Lepisosteus oculatus: one gene and its partner. The protein of the gene in region 1 purifies or fractionates together with the protein of each later gene. This does not show direct contact. Links are inferred from orthologs where the notes say so. Each region holds a gene or a part of one and is shown in the gene's direction. Other genes may lie near its edges.

The links.
Region 2: the proteins of proliferation-associated protein 2G4 (region 1) and ncl purify together in Homo sapiens (affinity purification with mass spectrometry; 3 studies listed by BioGRID and IntAct, with this or other methods). This does not show direct contact. The link is inferred for Lepisosteus oculatus from reciprocal best matches to the Homo sapiens genes PA2G4 and NCL.

What each region holds. Positions count from the first base shown.
Region 1 is NC_090696.1:14,664,920-14,675,905, forward strand, and holds the start of proliferation-associated protein 2G4, read left to right. Parts: upstream 1-5,802; 5' UTR 5,803-5,921; coding exon 5,922-6,009; intron 6,010-8,066; coding exon 8,067-8,195; intron 8,196-8,388; coding exon 8,389-8,494; intron 8,495-9,041; coding exon 9,042-9,111; intron 9,112-9,210; coding exon 9,211-9,303; intron 9,304-9,423; coding exon 9,424-9,487; intron 9,488-9,744; coding exon 9,745-9,823; intron 9,824-10,043; coding exon 10,044-10,122; intron 10,123-10,362; coding exon 10,363-10,496; intron 10,497-10,872; coding exon 10,873-10,967; intron 10,968-10,986. Other genes in the region: receptor tyrosine-protein kinase erbB-3, read left to right, coding at 40-111, 846-1,086, 1,268-2,148. UniProt on the Homo sapiens protein: May play a role in a ERBB3-regulated signal transduction pathway. Seems be involved in growth regulation. Acts a corepressor of the androgen receptor (AR) and is regulated by the ERBB3 ligand neuregulin-1/heregulin (HRG).
Region 2 is NC_090708.1:8,864,759-8,875,453, forward strand, and holds the start of ncl (nucleolin), read left to right. Parts: upstream 1-6,508; 5' UTR 6,509-6,656; coding exon 6,657-6,674; intron 6,675-7,752; coding exon 7,753-7,857; intron 7,858-8,131; coding exon 8,132-8,240; intron 8,241-8,816; coding exon 8,817-8,930; intron 8,931-9,296; coding exon 9,297-9,422; intron 9,423-9,943; coding exon 9,944-10,060; intron 10,061-10,347; coding exon 10,348-10,482; intron 10,483-10,695. UniProt on the Homo sapiens protein: Nucleolin is the major nucleolar protein of growing eukaryotic cells. It is found associated with intranucleolar chromatin and pre-ribosomal particles. It induces chromatin decondensation by binding to histone H1.

The sequences.
Region 1 (10,986 bases):
CCCTCCTCTCTCCTGTTAACCCTCCTCCCCCTCTCTCAGAGTGGCTTGACTCATTCGGGGCTGGCTGGGTACCTGCAGATGAACTCTGGGACAGGAGACCCCAACAGACAGGTGAGTCTCTTGACATCCTTTCACATGTCAGCTGCATGTGTGCTGACATACTGAATGTGTCGTTTGAGCAGCAGTGTCCTGACCAGAGCACACCTATCGCAGTTACTGACTGTCTCTCTGCCCACCTGTCTGCCTGAGAGTGCAGCTGGCCCGTTCACTTACACTATATCACCACAGTGACACTGGAGCACAAGAACACAGCAGGGGCAGAAGCAGGAGGAGACCATTCAACAGCTGCCAGTGTAAACACTCACTGCACCCTGTATCTGGAGTAAAAAATCACTATTCTCCACATGGTCACTCGCTGGCAGTGTTCAGTGAGTGTGCACGAGGTCTCACTAGTCACTCACTGGCAGTGTTCAGTGAGCGTGCAGAAGGCCTTCCCTCACCAGTCACTTGTTGGCAGTTTTCAGTGAGCATGCATGAGGCCTCACCAGTCACTCCCTGGTAGTGTTCGGTGAGCGTGCACAAGGCCTCATTCACCGGTCACTCGCGGGCAGTGTTCAGTGAGTGTGCATGAGGCCTCCCTCATTGGTCACTCGTAGGCAGTGTTCAGTGAGCGTGCACGAGGCCTCCCTTACCGGTATTCGCTGGCAGTGTTCAGTGAGCATGCACGAGGCTTCCCTAACAAGTCACTCGCTTGCAGTAATCAGTGACCGTGCACGAGGCCTCACTAGTCACTAGTCTACTACTCACTAGTCGGACAAGCAACCCAGTTCTCCTGTGTTCCGCAGCTCTGGCCCGCACGCTCACGGCTGAACTCGGCTCGGACGATCTCGGAGTGCTCGGAGGGGCGGGGCACGATGCCGGACACGGAGGCGGGCGAGGACGCCTCGCTGGGCGGCAGCCTGCGCCGGGGGCGCCGCCGGGAGGACAGCGCCTACCTCTCGCACCACGTCAGCCTGAGCGGCGCCGCCGAGGAAGAGGACCACTATGGATACGTCCTGCCGGGGTCGCTGGAGAGCCCAGAGAAAGGTGAGCCCCCAGACAGCGGTGTGAACCGGGAGTGTGTGTAGCTGACAGACTCACTACCCGGGTCTTGAATTAGTTTATTATTTGCTTAACGTTTTCTCAAGGGCTGAGTCTGGCCAATGGTGTCCTGGAGTAATAACTTACTAACTCCTGTTCTCTTCCTCTTCTTTTTTACTGTCCACAGCCAGCATCTTTTCTCTCTCACCCTCCCAAACTGGCACCCTGTCCAGAATGAGGGGTTCCCACAGTCGTGGCTCCCTGGGGACTCTGGGAGACCCTGACTCGGAGGAGTACGAGTACATGAACAAACAGACACGCCTGCTGCCTCTTGCCTCAGTGGCCAGTACCGCTGAGCCCCCACCAGAGGGCGCCAGAGACCAGAAACCGCACAGGAAGTCCCAGCCCAGCCCAGAGTGCAGTGCCAAGGATCTGCCACCTGGTGGAGACAGAGAGTCTGATGAGCTGCTGGATTGTAATGACCGGCAACCTCCTGCTGGTAGAGACAGAGTGCAGAAACGGAGAAGGCAGCTCTCCGTCAGCCCCGATCACAGCGGCGGCGAGTCACAGCAGGAAGGAGACGGAGGATCGGAACAGCAGCAGGAGCAGGAAGCAGTGGAGTACGAATACATGGACATCCGCAGCGAGGAGCTGGACTGTCGAAGCTCCAGGGACTGCGTAGGCAGGAAGGAGGACAGAGCTGCAGCTGCAGAAGACGGAGAGAAACGAGTGGAACCCGAGGAGGAGGCGGGGGGTGATAAAGAGGGAGGGGAGGACGAGCAGGAGGGAGACGCAGAGGAGGAGGAAGATTACCAGTACATGAACAAGCAGCCCAGGCTGAGGAAGGCCCTGCGGGGGGAGGCGGACGAGTACGAGCAGATGGACTCCTTGCCCCTGGTGGAGTACCAGAACCTGGCGGAGGGGGGCAGGAGGGGCCGGCCCGGGGAGCTGGGGGGCTTCGTGAAGGTGAGGGCCGGGGTGGGGGAGCCAGGCGCTGACCGCTCCTTCGACAACCCCGACTACTGGCACAGCAGGCTCTTCCTGAAGCCCGACGCCGTGCGCACCTAGCGGCCTGCAGAGCGGCACCAGAGAGGTCGTCCTCGCTCTGGGTCATGACCGGCCACCCCCCTGGTCCCACTCTGACTGGACCCCCCGATCATGCCTGTGGGGTGTCTGCATGTAGGGGGCGTGTCCAGGGTGTGTCTGGGGCGTGTCCGGGGTGTGTCTGGGGCGTGTCCAGGGTGGGTCTGGGGCATGTCCAGGGTGTGTCTGGGGCGTGTCCAGGGTGTGTCTGGGGCGTGTCCGGGGTGTGTCTGGGGCGTGTCCGGGGTGTGTCTGGGGCGTGTCCAGGGTGTGTCTGGGGCGTGTCCGGCTGTGTCTGGGGCGTGTCCAGGGTGTGTCTGGGGCGTGTCCGGTTGTGTCTGGGGCGTGTCCATGCTGTGTCTGGGGCGTGTCCATGGTGTGTCTGGGGTGTGTCTGGAGCATGTCTGGAGCGTGTCTGGGGTGTGTCTGGGCATGTCTGGGGCGTGTCCGGTGTACGCGGCAGTAGCCGTGCTGAGCCTGCGGTCTGTCCAAGCTCTGTGCGCCGCAACCCAATGAAGTGTATTTTTAAGAAGGGATGGGATGGTGTTCCTAATAAACTGGCCAGTTTGAGAGGTCTGTACTGTATGGATTCTCACATGAACAAAATGATATAGCTCTTCTTTATTTGTATTTCTATCTCTGTTGTACTGTAAAATAGACTGTATTTTTGAAATCCCATCTTTGTATTGAATAAGAGATTTAAAAAAGCAACATAAAGATGCATCTAATTTTGACTGTGTTTGATTTCTTAATGCTTACTAGTGTATCACTACTGCAGCTGCTGCCGCCACTGCCAGATTAGGCACCTCTCTCATGAATGCACAGCTGCTACTGGATCTGACACCTCTGTCCTACTGCAGCACAGATATCGCTGGCTGCTAACACCACCACTCTGGGTGTTCCCTCTGGCAGAGTTACAATCCTGCAGCTACTACCCCTACTTTTAAGCTCGGCTAGGCCGGCCCTGTTCAGTCCCAGGATGAGAGGCTTCTGATACAAGGACTGAATACAAGGATATGATAGAGTCTGCTAGATCCAGTTACTTCTCTCACATTACCATAACAGCCCCAGACACCTTTTCTCCACCATCAACAGACTGCTAAAGCCAGACTGCCCCACCACATTACCTGCCTCTTCCCAACTCTGCAACACATTTTTAGTTTTTTAGCTCCAAGATTGACAATGCCTGGCATCACACTCTCTCCACGGCGCATGTCACCTCCACACCTCCCCCCTGCTTGCCCAACTTCACTGGCTCCCTTCTCTCTAACTTCTCTCTACTTGACTCTCCCTGCTCACATTTGAAATCCACCACCTGCCTTTAGATCCCATCCCCACCACCTTATTTCAATCCTGTTTCAACACTGTTAACCATGATATCTTACTTTCTCGTCTTGACCTGTGTTTGGAGTTTCTGACTCTGCTCTTAATTTGTTTGAGTCTTACCTCACTGATCACTGTCACTTTGTCTATCTCGGCAGTTTTAGCTCTAAAATTGGTCTCATTGCATCTGGTGTTCCTCAGGGCTCGATACTGTGCCCCCTACTTTTCAGTATTTACATGTTCCCACTTGGTCAGTTTTTAGGATCGCACGGCCTCAACTATCATTTCTACGCTGACAATACTCAGATCTACGTCCATACCAAACCTCACACTGATGTGGCTGTCTCTGTTCTCTCTATTTGCATCTCTGACCTAAAAACATGAATGACTCCAAACTTCCTTCATTTAAACTGTGACAAGACGGACATCATTCTTATTGGCACCTCACAACAACTTTGTAAAGCCAGTGCTGTAACCCTATGTGTGGATGGCACTGTACTTGAACTTCAGTCTAAATTGAAAAACTCGGGGGTGATATTTGATTCAGGCTTGATGTTTGACCCACATGTGCAATATATTGCCAAAACATCATTCTTTCACCTCAGAAATGTCATCAAACTAGGTCCTATCTTATTGCTAACTGTTGCTGAAAAGCTGGTCAACATTTATCTTCTCCCAAATTGACTACTTTAATGTTCTGCTCGCTGGGGTTTCTAACTCACAAACTCCAGTATGTCTAAAATTGAAAATATACAATAAGATGAGATAGTAGTTGGGGCAGAGTCCAGGCCAGATCTTGTGCTAGTGATCACATTACTCCTATCCTGGAGTCCTTGCACTGGCTTCCTGTCAGGTTTGGTGTCGAGTTCAGAATCCCCATGCTCACCTATAAGGCTCTGCATGGTTTGGCACCTCAATACCTGTCTGAGCTACTGTCGTCCTACTCCCCACCTCACATCCTTCGCTCTTCTCATTCTTGCCTCCTATCTGTCCCCCAAACCAGTCTACACTCTATGGGTGACGGGGCCGTTTCCTGCTGCACCCCAAAGCTCTGGAATTCCATCCCCAAGGATATCAGAGAGTCACCTTCCCTAGACTCTTTCAAATCCAGACTCCAAACATTCTTCTTTAGAAGAGCCTTTACTTAACTGGTTCTGTTTTTTACCCCTCTTCTCCTGTTGTATTCTGTACCCCCATCTACTGTCTCCTCTCATTGTGTATTTTTATTGTGCATATCTTGTGTTTTTCTTTTGTTGTTGTCAATCTGCAAAGTGGTTTGAGAAGCCACAGGGTTTACTGCACTGTGAGCCAGACTCCCAGTGCACCTTTAAAGGTGCTATATAGAGTAAAGTTTGTATTATTATTATTATTATTATTATTATTATTATTATTATTATTATTATAAGGAAAGCCAGGTTACTGCAGCTGTTGCTACAGAACCCTAAATAGACAATACACACTAGCCGAATATCTAACCAAGATACATAACAGCAAACAGAAACAGACCCTGATGAAGTACAGGCTCAGTGACCACAGCCTGGCCATAGAAATTGGGCGACACAGGCAGACCCGGCTGCCCAGAGAGGACAGGCTGTGCTCCCACTGCCAGCGGGGAGAAACAGAGACAGAGGTGCAAGTCTTACTGCACCTGGACAAATATTCTGGGATTAGAGAAACATTCAGATTAGAGAAGGGAACTCAGTTGAACTGGCAGTCCAGTATGTGATCTTCTGTCACAGCCTGAGGAACAGTGAGTCTGTCTCCCAGTTATGCTCAATATGTCTATATGTAAACATTTTAGGATTGTGTCTTTATTGTAAATGTCTGTAGATTTTGGTTTTATGTTAATTGTATCTGTTTTGCTTTGGCAACACTGATTGTACTCATTGGTCATGCCAATAAAGCACCTTGAATTGAATTGAAATTGTGTGTTTCTTTCACTGTACGATAAAGCAGTGGGTCATATTCATCCATTGATTTTACTCAGCTTTTCACGGCGAGAGTCGTCGCAGTGGGGCACATTTTGAAACTAAAGGAAACTGACTTTATAATTCAATTCACGCAAACTCACACCGGAATGAAATACAATTCCCAGATTCCCAGGGGACAAGGCGCCACGAGCATGACGCATCTCATTCGTTTTCTTTTAAAAAAAAAGCAGACTGTAATACTAAGGCAGAACGAACGTATATCTGGGAAATGTAGTTTTTTCAATCCCACATTCATGTAGATGTTCCCGATGAGCGAGGTGAAAAAAGACTACAAGCAGGACCGTGATGCTGCGCCCCCTATTTTTTTTCTTTTTGGCGGTTGGGCCGGGCCTGGTGACGCGCGGTGGAGGCCGGGCCGGAGCCGCGGGGTCGAGCTGTCTGCCAGACTGAGCTCGCCGCCGACACACCGGGGAGAGAGAAGCGTTGGAGAGCCGCCGACGAAAGATGTCCGGAGACGACGAACAGCAAGAGCAGACCATCGCGGAGGACCTGGTGGTCACCAAGTACAAAATGGGAGGCGACATCGCCAACCGTAAGTTTCACAGAAATGGTTCAGCGGAGGGGAAAACACGGTTTGGGGTAGTTTCGTCTGCCTTTAAATGCCGATGTGACCGAAACAGCCGGCCTGCCTTGAGTCTAGTAGCGGCCATGTGCCTTAAAGAAGCGTGTGGAGAGACAGAGCGATTGCAGGGCCTGAAGCCGACGGAGGCTATAATCTCCCGTATTGGCTTTGCTTTTTTTTACCATATTGACAGGCGATTAAAACATTATGTTCAAACAAAACGGATATTCGCTTGCCGTTTGAAACTGCCGGTTGATATTCTTAGTTCACTCATGTAAAGCTCAGTACAGAGTAATTATTGGTCATCGCGGTAAAGAAAAATTAGAATAATCCGCTTTGTGGCTCATCGGTTGAAAATTTTAAGTTTTCTCCGTGCCCCATTCCGTGTTGTAACCACACACGCGCATCTGTTGTAGTAGCTCATTATGTTAACGTGTTGGATTTTTAAATGACCGGTCGATCCACTCGCTTGAGGACGGTGAGCGAAATCGTTTTATTTAAAAATACACGGGTCCGAGTAGGAAACGAGCCATTTATTTGCACAGAAGTGACAGGTGTACCGCCGCGTGTCTCTGTGACTCCCTCACGTGTCGAACTAGTCAGCACGAGGGGCTGGGGAGCCCCAGACCCGAGCTCTGTGGGGTACCCTTGTACCCCTGTACGATCCCGCCGCCGACCTCTGTGCTTAACCTGTGTGCTGGTTTACAAGCCGTCCGTTATGTCCTGGAGGCTGATATAGCGCCTTTCAAAGCGAGTCCCACAGTATACCATTATAATTTCTGTTTTTCCCAGCCCGGGTACCAGGAATTGCAATAATAACGTTGTTGGTTTTACCGGGGTGCGTTAAATGTGCATTTGTAGATCTTATGAATTCTGCAGACACTGGGTTATTCGATCAGATTGAACACTACCATAGAAATGCAACATGTTGACACTCCCAGTGCACAGCAGTGTGTTCCAGTGCAGGGTTTACTGCACTGTGAGCCAGACTCCCAGTGCACAGCAGTGTGTTCCAGTCCAGGGTTTACTGCATTGTCAGCCAGACTCCCAGTGCACAGCAGTGTGTTCCAGTCCAGGGTTTACTGCACTGTGAGCCAGACTACCAGTGCACAGCAGTGTGTTCCAGTCCAGGGTTTACTGCACTGTGAGCCAGACTCCCAGTGCACAGCAGTGTGTTCCAGTGCAGGGTTTACTGCACTGTGAGCCAGACTCCCAGTGCACAGCAGTGTGTTCCAGTCCAGGGTTTACTGCATTGTCAGCCAGACTCCCAGTGCACAGCAGTGTGTTCCAGTCCAGGGTTTATTGCATTGTCAGCCAGACTCCCAGTGCACAGCAGTGTGTTCCAGTCCAGGGTTTACTGCACTGTGAGCCAGACTCCCATTGCACAGCAGTGTGTTCCAGTCCAGGGTTTACTGCACTGTGAGCCAGACTCCCAGTGCACAGCAATGTGTTGCAGTCCAGGGTTTACTGCACTGTGAGCCAGACTCCCAGTGCACAGCAATGTGTTGCAGTCCAGGGTTTACTGCACTGTGAGCCAGACTCCCAGTGCACAGCAATGTGTTGCAGTCCAGGGTTTACTGCATTGTCAGCCAGACTCCCAGTGCACAGCAATGTGTTGCAGTCCAGGGTTTACTGCATTGTCAGCCAGACTCCCAGTGCACAGCAATGTGTTGCAGTCCAGGGTTTACTGCATTGTCAGCCAGACTCCCAGTGCACAGCAGTGTGTTCCAGTCCAGATTATGCCATTTTAAGATGTTTCAAATTATCAGAAAAATATGTAATTTTACTTCAACTAATTTGTCTGCATCAGTTACAGTCTAATTAATGAAACACCCAGCATGTGGGTGAATAAGAATCCACCTCCACTTCCAGGTCAGTCCCAGCAGAGTGCCAGACATGTCCTTCCAGGTGGAGCACTTGCGTTCAGATATGTTCTGGCTGTGTCTGCCCTGCGGGTGTTCAAGCACCTGTCTGATGCTGTGTCAGTAGTGCTGTTGTTGATGCCCTGTCCCGCTGTCGTCTCTCAGAGGCCCTCCGGAAGGTGGTGGAGGCAGCCAAGCCCGGGGTGTCTGTCCTGGCTCTCTGTGAGAAGGGGGACGCCCTCATCATGGAGGAGACTGGCAAGATCTTCAAGAAGGAGAAAGAGATGAAGAAAGGTGAGGGCGGCGGAGGGACGAGCGTGTCTGCCTCAGCTCACGAGGCGCTTCTTTACCCCGAGGGTGGTGGGTGCGTGGAACAAGCGTGAACTACAGAGCAGAATCTCTGGGATGGTTTAAGTGATGGCTGGGTGTACAGGTGGGGTTTTCTGTTCCTGTGGCATGACAGTAACCGCCTCTCCTCTCTCTTTAGGCATTGCCTTCCCCACCAGTGTGTCCGTCAATAACTGTGTCTGCCACTTCTCCCCACTGAAGAGCGACCCTGACTATACGCTGAAGGAGGGAGACCTGGTCAAGATGTGAGTCTGCATCTCTCCTGCTTTGTGCTCTGGTTTGTGTGCGTGTGTGTGCGCGGGCCCAGTGGTTGTGTTGTGTGGGCGCAAGCATGTGTGTGCGCGCAGGGCCCAGAGGTTGTGTGGTGTGTGTGCGGGCCCAGTGGTTGTGTTGTGTGGGCGCATGCGCGCGCGCGTGTGTGTGTGCGTGGGCCCAGTGGTTGTGTTGTGTATGGGGCCCAGAGGCTGTGTTGTGTGGGCATGCACGCACGTGTGTGTGTGGGGGGCCCAGATGTTGTGCAATGTGGGAGCGTGTGTGTGTGAGCCCAGTGGTTGTGTAGTGTGTGTGGGCGTGGGCCCAGTGGTTGTGTAGTGTGGAAGCGTGTGTGTATGTGTGTGAGCCCAGTGGTTGTGCAGTGTGGGAGCGTGTGTGTGCGGGGCCCAGAGGTTGTGTAGTGTGTGTGTGCGGGGCCCAGAGGTTGTGTTGCTTGTGCCTGAGTGCTTGTGCCTGAGAGTCTGTCAGAGCGCTACATGACCCCTAACGCTTCCTTGCCTGTTGCTCTCCTGTCCCCAGTGACCTGGGTGTCCATGTTGACGGCTTCATTGCCAACGTGGCTCACAGCTTCGTCGTGGGAGCGACTAAGGTGGGTCTCTCGCCCCCCGTGTCTGTGCCCAGTCCGTCTCTGCTCCGTCTGTTTCACTGACGCTCCCTCTCGTCCCTCTCTCGTCCGGCCCCTCTGCAGGAGGCCCCAGTGACGGGGCGCAAGGCTGACGTCATCAAAGCGGCCCATCTGTGCGCTGAGGCTGCGCTGCGTCTCGTCAAGCCCGGCAACCAGGTAGGTGTGCCGACTGCCCCGGGCCGCAGGCAGTTCTGGGGTTCTGAAGTGAGCAAAAGAAATCGTTCTTATTGACATTTTCTCCGAGTTCCTCATGTGCTGATTCCCTCTCTTTCCCAGAACACTCAGGTGACAGAGGCCTGGAACAAGATTGCACAGTCCTTCAAATGCACGGCCATCGAGGGTGAGTGTGACCCACCTGGGGCACCCTGGAGAGACGAGCTGAAGTTGCTAATTCTGCACCGGAAGTGTCTCAGAACCCCCCCACCCCTCTCCCCGACAGTGCCCCACGCTGCTCATCTGCCCTGTGCCAGGGGGCCTTTCGCACGCTTCCCAGGACCAGCAGGCAGTGCGGCTGGTCACTGCTGTGTCTGTTTCAGCGGCAGGTCTCCTGGGAGCTTGGTCGTTTTCTGATTTTTCCCCTCTTGATCCTCCTCGCAGGGATGCTGTCTCACCAGCTGAAGCAGCACGTTATTGATGGAGAGAAGACCATCATTCAGAACCCTTCAGATCAGCAGAGGTGAGCCCTGGTCAGCTGCTTTTCTGGTCGTACCGAAGCATCTTCTCTGTTAAATGACGTGTGATGGCATAGTGCTTTCAACTGAGTGCCTTACCCTCTCAGAAGTGTGTAACTCTGAAACGTCCCCCCACCAACCCCACTTCCTGCCACGCTGGCTGGACGAGGACACTGACGCGCTGTGCCCGTGTTGTGATTGGCTGTGTTGCGTGTCCGTCCGCAGGAAGGATCATGAGAAGGCGGAGTTCGAGGTGCACGAGGTGTACGCTGTGGACGTGCTGATCAGCACCGGAGAGGGGAAGGTAGGGTATATGGTCTTTTTCCTTTTGCTCTGATACCTGCATTTCATTCTTTAATTGCATGGTTGAAAACAAATGACATGTACAGTGATGATTCGGCCAGTAGCCTTGTAGCATTGAAATCTAAACGGGAGAAAAAATGAATAATACAGCAGGAACGTAAGCAGTCTTTCTCACTTGGCTGTAAGGCGTCCCTGTCTGTCTCGCCGCTGACCTCAGTCTTGCTGTCTGACTCTGTTACAGGCGAGGGACGCTGGCCAGAGGACCACCATTTACAAGCGGGACCCAACCAAGCAGTACGGGCTGAAGATGAAGACCTCGCGCGTGTTCTTCAGCGAGGTGGAGAGGCGTTTCGACGGCATGCCCTTCACTCTCCGGTAGTGCCACACGGGGGGCGTGGGGTGGGCTGGGCCGGGCTGGAGGACCCCAAAAACAGGCCCCCACTTACTGAGCTGGGAGTGATCTGAGCTCTCCTCTCTGTCCTCCTTTCATTCCTCGCTTTTCTGGTCTCTTTCACGGTTCCTCCCTGCTGCTCACATGCCCCCTCAACAGGGAGCCCCTAATGTTGGCAGAACTGATTACAGCACAGCCACAGACAAGAGCAGACAGCAGGTAGTGAGCAGGACCCATGTGAGACTGAGCAATCTGCAGGACATCAGAGAAATAAAGAACAGTCCAGTCTGCTGATTGACCGCGAGGAGGGAATCTGACCGCTCCCTTCGCTGTCCTCTGATCTCTCTCTCTCTCTCTCAGGGCATTTGAGGACGAGGGGAAGGCGCGGCTGGGCGTGGTGGAGTGCGCCAAACACGAGCTGCTGCAGCCCTTCAACGTGCTGTACGAGAAGGAAGGTCAGTGTGCGCCGCTCAT
Region 2 (10,695 bases), on another chromosome or scaffold:
CATTTATAATGCAGAACACAGATAAACAAAAGTAACATTTTTACTGTAATACAGTCACAAATAAGGGGAAAGCACTGTGCATATCTAGCCCATTTGGGAGCTAGTAGCTAGTTCATCCCAGGACCTCATCCATCCATTTCTTGAAGGAAGCCAGGTTATCAGCTTCAGCAACATGGTTCGATGGCTTGTTCCATATGTCCACTTTAAGTAGTTCTCAGCTTTACGTTCACGCAATTTCTACCTGTGTCCTCTTGTTCATGTTTCAGTGTTAATTCTAAAGAAGTCTACTACATTAACCTTATCAGTGATAATAACAAACCCCTCAAGGTCCCCTCATAGTCTTTAACATAATATCTCGATTTAAATTCTACACTTGACTACATACTAACGTTTTGTTTTCGATTGATTCCCTACATTGCCTAGAAGATACCACTGATGCATCAACAGAAACATGGAAGTCTTTAAGAAGTACAGTAGCAAATTCTCAATCCAAACACATAGATTTCCCCGAGAGCCTCATGCCTTTGAGAAATTATCTTTTACAAAAGCCTTCTGACAATCTAAATACATGCATATCCAGTACAGCTATGGTGTGTTCAAGGATATCCAACAGGTTGGTTAGGAAAGATCTACCTTGTTTAAATGTGGACTAACCCCTAGAACATTATTTCCACATAGATTATTCACTGGTTTAGCTCTAATGATTGTTTTCTAAACCTTACCTGTGACAGAAGTTAGACTTTGTGATCTACAATTACTTGGGTCAGTTATGTCATCCTTCGTACGCATGGGTACTGCATCTGTAAATCTCCAGTCCATGGGCACTACCCTGTCCTGAGCTGACAGCTCTGTACATTTGGTGTAAAGGCTTCTGGTGGTATTTGTGACAGACCTGTGAGCAGGATGTGTGAGAGGATTTTGACTTAAAAAACAACAGACATATGCATGGAGTCATAGGCAAAAAAGGTTTAAAAAATCAGTCACCTTTTATTTGCAGACTAAGAAACTCGAAAAAAAAAACACACATGCAAAAAACTCAGTTCTTCTTTGAGGTCCATCTACACTTCCTTTTTTTTCCACCAACACTGTTCCAAACAATTCTTCTCATAACTCAAAGTTCCCCAAACCCTCTACCTTACACTAGATCTCTCTCTGAAATTATTCGCAAAACTCCTCATCCTTCAGCTGCTTCTTTGATCCCCTCTCCCTCTCTCTCCGATCCACCATATCTCAGAGGCTCTTCTTCCCTCATGTACAGCACAAGGTGACAGCCATCCCAGAAGTCTCAGCTGCCTGGTTTAAAATGTCACCTAACCAATGGTCATCCAGGCATTGGTCAGGTGACTGAGGACAGCAGGTGACTCCCCATAGCTTCTTGGGACGTTGTAGTTTAACAAGATCTTCTTCTCTCTTATACATTTTATACATTTTGCCCCTTGAGCAAAGGTACTCTGATCCCAGGTGTACAAAACAAATATGGAGTTAGTAATTTCCCGGCAAACAGAGTGGCTACACTACAAGGAGTTGTTCTGAAGCATGCAGGTAGTGGAGTGGGTTCAGTGCATGCTTTTAAATCTCTGAGAGCTTTTTTTATTTTGGATGTCCATCATGGCACCAACATAAAAACCAGCAATGTCAAGGCCTGGTTACATTTGTTCCAGGTAGCATTAATGTTTAAATCTGTTCTTGCTAATTCACCCTAACTTGTTACATCAGTTCATGTCCAGACCAGAGGTCATTGGAAATTCGGGTCTCATCTTAATTTTCAGACCATTTTAGGAAGGACACTTGTTATTAAAAATATGAATGTAGCATAGAAAAGACATCTTTATAACTGTATGTAAATGTAGAGCAGGAAACTTGAATAAATTTCGTTATTAAGAAAAATCCTGCTGCAAACAGGATGCACCCTTTGAGACAATAATTTTCTCAAATACACTAGATTGAACTGAAACTTATACATTGAAATACAGTTATTTGAAGAACCCGACAAATACTGCGAAGGTAAGGATCATGGGGCGCTAAACTAGTGTAGCTTGTGAAACACTGCTGCCCTCTTGTGGTATTAAGCTGTAATAGACGTGCAATTAGTCTCTAAAGAACAGCAACGGAAACACTACCTCTCATATTGTTCTTGGAAGAAATCACAATAATACAAACAGGATATCTTTCCAAACCTTTTTGAGACAAATAAAAAAGTTTGTAATCTTCAAGACAACATTTCATAATGTCTGGATAATTTCCCCACAACAAAGTTTTGGGTATATAAGCTGATGCCAGCAGCCATACCACCCTGCAACTCAAACTGGCAACCCCCTGAAGCTCAGCAGGTGTGAGCCTGGTCAGTACCTGGATGTGAGACCTCCTGGGAAAAACTAAGGTTGCTGCTGGAAGAGGTGTTAGTGGGGCCAGCAGGGGGCGCTCACCCTGCAGTCCACGTGGGTCCTAATGCCCCAGTATAGTGACAGGGACACTATACTGTAAACAGGCCCCGTCCATTGGATGAGATGTAAAACTGAGGTGCTGACTCTCTGTGGTCATTAAAAATCCCAGGGCGTTTCTCGAAAAGAGTAGGGGTGTAACCCTGATGTCCTGGCCAAATTTCCCATTGGCCCTTACCAATAATCCCCCTCTATGAATTGGCTCCTCCCCACTGACAGCATCATCCAGGTGGGGACTACACATTGGTGGTGGTGGAGGGGAGTCCCCATTACCTGTAAAGTGCTTTGAGTGGAGTGCCCAGAAAAGAACTATATAAGTGTAAGCAATTATTATTAGATTTTTTAAACTCTAATAATTTTTAGGTTTTTGTGTTTAGTTGATATGAAAAGCTCATAAAAACAATTAAATAATTTCACCGCAGAGCAAGTTGGATCTATCTCTCTCACCACGTACAACCTGATGTATTTGTTTGATATGTCCAGTGGATGTTTAAATGTGCTGCTTTAATGGAAACTGTCCATGCATCTAGATGCAAAGAGCTAAATACACGATTAACTCAATTTTCACTTTAAAAACAAAAAGTGCCTGGAAATATACTGTATCCCAACAGAATGGATTAGTTTAAATGTACTTTCACAAAAAGTTCTTACTTGAACTTCAGTCTAAATTGAAAATCTTGGGGGTGATATGTGATTCAGGCTTGACATTTGACCCACATGTGCAATATATTGTCAAAACATCCTTCTTTTTCCTCTAAAATATCACCAGACTACATCCTATGTTATCACTTACTGTAGCTGAAAAGCTGATCAACACGTTTGTCTTCTCCTGAATTGACTACTGTAATGCTCTACTCGCTGGGGTTTCTAAATCCACATTGACCAGGTCCAATGACTCCTATCCTGGAGTCCTTGCACTGGCTTCCTGTCAAGTTTCGAGTCGACATCAAAATACTCATGCTCACCTGTAAGGCTCTGCATGGCTTGGTACCTCAGTACCTGTCTGAGCTATTATCGCCCTACTCCCCACCTCGCAACCTTCACTCTTCTAATTCTGGTCTCCTAACTGTCCCCCAAGCCCGTCTACACTCTATGGGTGACAGGGCCTTCTCCTGTTCTAACCCCAAGCTCTAGAATTCTATCCCCAAGAATATGAGAGTCACCTTCTCTAAACTCCTTCAAATCCAAACTCAAAACGTTCTTCTTTAGAAGTGCCTTTACTTTACTTAACTGTTTCTGTTCTTTACCCCTCTGCTCCTACTGTATTCAATATCCACCATCTACTGGCTCCTCTCATTGTGCATTTCTTGTGTACTTTTTATTGTTGTTGTCGTTCTGAAAAGCGGTTTGAGAAGTCATCTTTAAAGGCGCTATATAAAATAGTTTTTTATTAAAAAAATAAACAGTCGTCAATTAGCGCCACCTGGTGGTCTCTTGAGAGATGTTAAATTTGCTTCTAACCGTTGAGCCCAGTACATCAGACCAAGCTCATTGAGCAGAATTACATACATTACTCCAACATAGTACCGCAACCGTTGGAGGAATCTGAAGACCACCTAGACATAATCAAACACCAAATTCTTCGTACAGGATTAATATAAACAAAACGCCATGATTTAATAATGATACACTATTTAACCTTAAAATAAGCGAAAGCGGCTTCTCAACCAGGAATTCACAGCGTGACTCTCCTTTGAAGGAGAAGGTGACAACTAAAAATCCTTGCTGACTAACACTTCCTACATAACAGCCGCTGGGTTATTTCTCCCCCGCAGATAGCGATTCAGGCATTTAGGACTGGGGAGGTTTACCAATAGCGCAAGGTTTGTACACCTCTACACCGTTTCCTCGCCACATTCAAATCGTCCAACCAAATCTCGCTCTTTCAAGGTCCCGCGAACGTCATGACGAAGATATCAAACTCTCGCGATATTTCATGTCAAGGCTTTTGGTAGGGAGTTTCGATATCCCTTCTTATATTACACGTTTTCACACCCGGAAAGGTAACAGGGCAGCCATATTGCTGCGGTATGATTTCGCTTAGAGAGTTACAGTAGGTAACATGACCAAAACGCTGATGGCCTTACATTATGCATTATATATTCAGTCAAAAGCAGTAAATGCAAACAAGTTCATTTTGTACGTCTGAACATTTGACATTGGTTTTACACATTACCGTCACTAAAGTGCCTGCCTAACGTTATGTAGCTTGTGCTATCCCTCTTGTGGGTCTTACCCAGGTACAATTAAGCTAAATGTAAATCGAGGACCGTGAGCATTTCAATTTGTATCTAAGCTGATATTCTGTTTACGTCAATACTTTTCCAAATCTTCAAAATGCATCTGTCCAAACGTCACCTTTAGATACTATTTACTTTTAATGTATTAATTTCTACTACATTTTTTTATCGACCTTATCTTTTATTCTCCCAAGTATACCTTACACGTGTTCTAATCCATTAAGTGGACCTACTGTTCCGGTTATCATTTCGATTGTTTGAATTTAAGTACATTGGTAATTCAAGAACCATTAGCGATTTAAACGAAGGGCCTTTCTTCGGGGTGTAACAGCAGCGTAAACCAAGGATTTGAAACCAGAACTCTCAAATCCACAGCGATCATTACCGCCAGCAATTTCTGCCCTGTTGCAGTCATTTTTACACACAAAAAGACGTGGTCACAATGACAGATGATGGAGGTCCAGTTATTTTGACTTGGTGATTTAATGTAGGACTGTGAGAAACTTTTTTTTCCCCTCAAAATTCAGATTTTCGTGTTACCAAGACCACATAAATTACCCGATCGATCTGTAGCTATCCATGACTCAAAACTCTCTGCTCATATATATTCTTCTTGTATTTCATGCATTGATTCATTTGTGTATATAAAAGTGGGTATTGTTTTATTTAGCAGATCACCGTGCACGTTAATTCGATTCTACATTACAAGGCTAAACTGTATTCTATAAGACTGTCTTATATTTATCGTCATTATTTTTTGACGTTAGACCTTAAGGTAGATATAAAAATAACAAGGAGAATGCCCTGAATCTCGGTGAGCATCCCCTCCTCGTGTTGAATGAGTTTTTTTTTTCCTGGAAGAAAAACAACTGAATAGTAATATCGTGAAACTATATAATTCATGTGCATTAAATTGTAACCACTGTATTTTAATTTTTCGCCCTCCTTCTTCCATTACCCCGCATTAAAACTCGTTGTTTTCCAATACCAGACATTTCACAAAATCAAAACATTTCAATCACTTTAGAACATTTCACTAATACAATACCTTCGGGAAAAGAAAACTTTACAAGCCGTACTGTACTTCTGAAGCTCAAGGCTCCCTGTTTTGTGCAGCCATGCTACCCTCTGTCCGTGATCGATTTAAAATGGGTGTATTTTGAAACACGTGGTGGCCAAACACTAGAAGCACATGGGACGCCACTGTTTCACTCCCATTGGGTGTCTGTAAATGGGATTTGCTTGCGGGTGGATATTATGTATTTACTGAAAAGAATAGCCGTTCCTATGTATGTTACACTTTGCGTTTTTACTTTGTGTTTTTGAAGTATCACTAAAAACTTGTTAGAGCTCATGTGCACTTTAAAGTCACATGGGTGGCCGGCACTTTAGGTTTAATGGGCTGTGAACGGAACTCGAGATACCGGTACAATCCACCGAGAAGTCCAGTACACAAAAAAAGTTAATATTTTAACAGGTTTTATCGTATTTAAATTGGAAGTTTTTTTCTCATTCATAGTTTCAACTAAATGCCAAATGGTTCGATGAAATTGAAGCTTAAAAATATGTTTCTTTATTTAAAAAAAACAAACAAATTATATCAATCCAGACACGAGTATACACCTATACAAATTTCACACTAAAAATACATATTACGAATACTGTGCAGTACTAACTAAATCCACTCTCGTCTCTTCAGGGCTCGGACAAGCGCGTTCACGAAAACCCCAGAAGCCGAGCGCGATGCAAATTCCTGCGACCCGATTGGCCAAGAAATAACACGTGGGCGTGGAAGGTGGAACGCGCACAACAGTAAAGCACCTCGCGCTTCTTCCTGCGAGTCCGTCTTTCTCGTCTCAGCGCCTCACCGAAGAGCAGGGTTAGGCCACGTGTGGAGCAGTGATTAAAACTTGCATTAGCTTTTTCGTTTTCCCGATCGATCTTAGTCGAGTAAACAACCCCGCAGACAGTCAAGATGGTGAAACTGGCGAAGGTAAGATGTGATTTTCATCGCCGATTTCAAAATATAAAGTTCGAGGCGATGGGTTTGATGTACAAAATGGCACTGGAGATGTGAGATTTTGTTCCTTTCGGTTTGCCTTGCCCGAGCATTTTTTTGCAGCGGATGAATGTTTTTTTTTATGATTATGCGGGTGCAGTCGTGTTTTGGGGGTAACGTAGGGGGTTATTAGTTTCCGGATGAAAGACGGAGCACAATGGAAGTGCGTTTTGGTGCCTGTTCAAGCCGACCCAGATTTCGAGTAATCAGCCATGTTTTTCTGCGTGGTGAACTCTTGTTTCTCAAAATGGCCATGCCTGCGCATTCGCCTGCGAGCGCGGAAGCTGTTTTTTTGGTTTATCGCCTTACTTGATTACATTTGGGTCTTGTTTGAAGCAGTAACTCCTCTTAAATGTAAAATATAACTCCTAGCAGCGTGAGCGCTTTGCAATTTTGGTAAAAAAAGGAACTTTCCAATTTGGTTGCGCTTTTATATTATGATGTGGGGAAAGAAACAGACGACTGTTTCTTAATTGCTTTATTTCTGGTAATGATTAGAACCGTGATCGTGCTATATGTAGTTTTTCCATTTATGTTTATTTCGGGTTTGTATTAGCTGGATATAGTTACATATGACTAGGCCTCGCGGAGCACCACGTGGGTTTTCAGCGTGGAGCCATCACGCAGTCACCACGACGTGTGTCCGTCGAGCGGTTTAGACATTAGTAGTTGGACATTGCAGGCTGTGTGCTGAACATTACCTTTTTTATTTTTAACTATTTTGAGAAATTTAGATTCTAAACATGCTAGCAAAATAGTGTCTTAGAGAGGGAGCACGCTGTGGAGGGGACATGGCGGCGGTGGTTTGTACTACACAAGCGTAGTTTTTTTTTTCCGGTGACCCGACCATTTTCCGTATACAAGTACACAATTATTTCGATGTACAAACGGTTACAATATTTTTTGACACCCCAAGGCGATAAACAGTTTTTTTGCGGCCTATGAATAAACAGCGGATACCCCGCTGGGTAGTCATGCTTCATATGAAGTGGGTTTTTTTTTCTTATTTTAGGCAGCGAAAAAACCGACAACTACCCCTAAGAAAAAGGCCCCACCGCCCCCTAAAGACGTGGACTCCAATGAAGAAGAGGACAGCAGTGAAGAGGAAAACGAAGAGGTAAGAGCGACAGAGACTCGCCGCAACACGTGGGCTGAGGGTCGCGCTGTGTCAGCGTGGAGCCAAACCGGAGGTCGTGTCCTACACGTGCTTGTGCGATTCGGGCCCTCTTGTTTTGGAGTTGGTGGTTTCGCTGGAAGGTGTAAGGTCTCTTTGGACAGTGACCCGTGTCCTAAAACGGGGTTCGACTGGGAAACCCAATACCGGTTTAACAAAGGGCATTTCTTTGTGCAGAAAGGGGAATCATGTTTTTTTTTTTTCCTTTCGGCTTCAGGTACCTCCCCCAAAAGCCAGCGCCAAGAAGGCAGCCACGCCAGCTAAAGTAACGAAAGCCGCCAAAAATGGCAAAGTGGCACAGAAGCAGGAAAGTGATGAAGACGATGGTAAGTGATGAAACGCGTCTGGGAGCCTTCATCTTTCACTCCATGCATGTTATAGGGTGAAGTGGAAGTGCAAAGATCTGGACAGAGGCTGTTGCATTTGTTGTCAACCACCAGGTTTCTAAAAATGGTGTCAACCATGTCGGAAATAACCAAAAGCCAGTGTTTGGCAGGATTTAGTTCTTAACCTACAAGATGCTAGCTGCAGTGAGTGTTAATTAAGGAATTGGAAATGCCCAAATCTTAAATCAGCATTTAGATGCCAGCAATACACTTATCACTATTATACGAAGCGTAGTTAATATTTTGAAGTGTTGTGTGGAGTATAAAGATGGTTCCACTCAGTTGTTCCTTCTTTGTAGAGGCTTAGGAAGCTGATATACTTGCCTTTGTTGAGCCAGAAGGACAATATATTTTGAACCCCACTGCTCTGAGGTTTGCATTGGGGGGGAGGTATTCCCTTTTAGTTCAAAATGTTTTTTTTTTCTGAACGGGGGAATTTCAGCTGTGATATTCCCCTGTATTTGGTCCTGAGTACAGTATGCTGGATTAACTCTTGCGTAATGTGATGCTCTTCAGAGGAAGATGCCCCCCCAGTCCCCGCCAAGGGCAAGGCCGCCAAGGGCAAGGCGGCGCCCCTGAAAAAAGCCGCCAAAGCTAAGAAACAGGAATCGGAGGAGGAGGATGACGATGGTATGATCAGTCACGGTGACTTTCTAGCTGTCAATAACATCCCAGCAATAGTCTTAAGAGGGCAAGGGTGGCTCGCCAGTGTTTGGCAAGGAGCTGGGGAGAGGAAGTTAGATCTCTGGGTTCATGGTTTTAGATCCTGGATGGAGCACTGCTGTTGGACCCTTCGGTAGAGATGAGCAATATAAATGTTGTCCAGGTGGCATTTGTCCCCAGGAAGGGCCTTTTTGGGCTGGTTGCTGGCTAGGCCTCCACCCCTCTTCAGACCTTGACTTGGGGCTCGCTGACATCCCTGCCGGGGCCCTGATCTTAAACCTGCTCGGGCCGGTCCGAAGCCCGGGAGACTCCTAACCTGTTCTGTTGTCGCAGATGACGAGTCGGAGGAAGAAGCCCCCCCACCCAAGAAGGCCACCCCAGCAAAAGCCACCCCTGCCAAAAAGGCCGCCCCCGCCAAGAAGCAGGAGTCCGAGGAGGAGGAGGACGATGATGAAGATGGTGAGTGACGGTGCAGTGATTCAGGGAGGGGGTTTAATAGCCTGGGGTGGTCTTGAGTTTCCAAGGCACTTGAGTGTGTAGGGAAAAATGGCCTCTTCCCTCCCCGCCTGCAGATCTTTTTAAGCTACTTAATTGATTTACTTAATTAAAATCTTCTTGGGTCCTGTTTTATTTGGCGGTGGTTCAGTTAGCTTAGCGCTCTGCTGGAGTCAAAACAGGAGGGTGGGATCGTGGATATGCAGAAACCCGGTAGGCTTACCATATCCTGAAGGTGCTGCCAATACAGAGGTGTGCCTTCAATGCACAATGCAGTTGTTATAATCACATTGTGTATTTTAGAACCTCCCTAGTTCAGAGGGAGTGAAACAGAGGGCAGTGAAACAGTTTGGTGCTTTCTGGTGATCACAGATGTACCCTAGTTGTCACTCGTCAGAAAGCTATACTTTTAGGAACATTAAGTTCTTGAATCCTTGTATCTGGTCCGAAGCCCGGGAGACTCTTAACCTGTTCTGTTGTCACAGATGACGAGTCGGAGGAAGAAGCCCCCCCGCCCAAGAAGGCCACCCCAGCAAAAGCCACCCCTGCCAAAAAGGCCGCCCCCGCCAAGAAGCAGGAGTCCGAGGAAGAGGATGAAGATGGTGAGTGGTCTTGTGGGAATTGCATAGGTGGAGGACAGTTCAATGCTATTGAAAAGCTTTGTGCATGCAGAAAAATTGCTTGTGATTTTTTTTTAATGAACCTGTTGAAAGCAGTTTTAGGACAAATGTGCAAACTCAATATTTAAAGGAATAATGGCTAAGGTTTGAGTTTTCCCCAGATATGATGTTCCTGGCTCTCCGGCGGGTTTGTGCTTTCTGTGTTGATTAAATATGCAAGTCTGAGTTTAAGAGAAGAAGGCTCTGACCTTTTTGTTCCCCTGGTGCAGATGAAGAATCTGAGGAAGAGGCCCCTCCACCCAAAAAGGCCACTCAGGCAAAGTCTACCCCTGCAAAAAAGACCGCCCTAGCCAAGAAGGAAGAGTCAGAGGAGGAGGATGATGAAGAAGATGATGAAGAAGATGGTGAGGGTTGTTTTGTTACATTTCAGAGCTGAAGGACAGTCTTACCTAGAAACTTCAGGCTTTATCGGATGTATAAGTTGTCACGACAATGCAGGGCTTCTTACGTATTTGTTGCAAGGTCTGCAGATGTTGAGCTATGTTAAACTGTTTGCCAGCGGTATGTGTTTAAGATTATACAAAGGGTTGCAACCAGATTATGCAAGTTGGAATTGC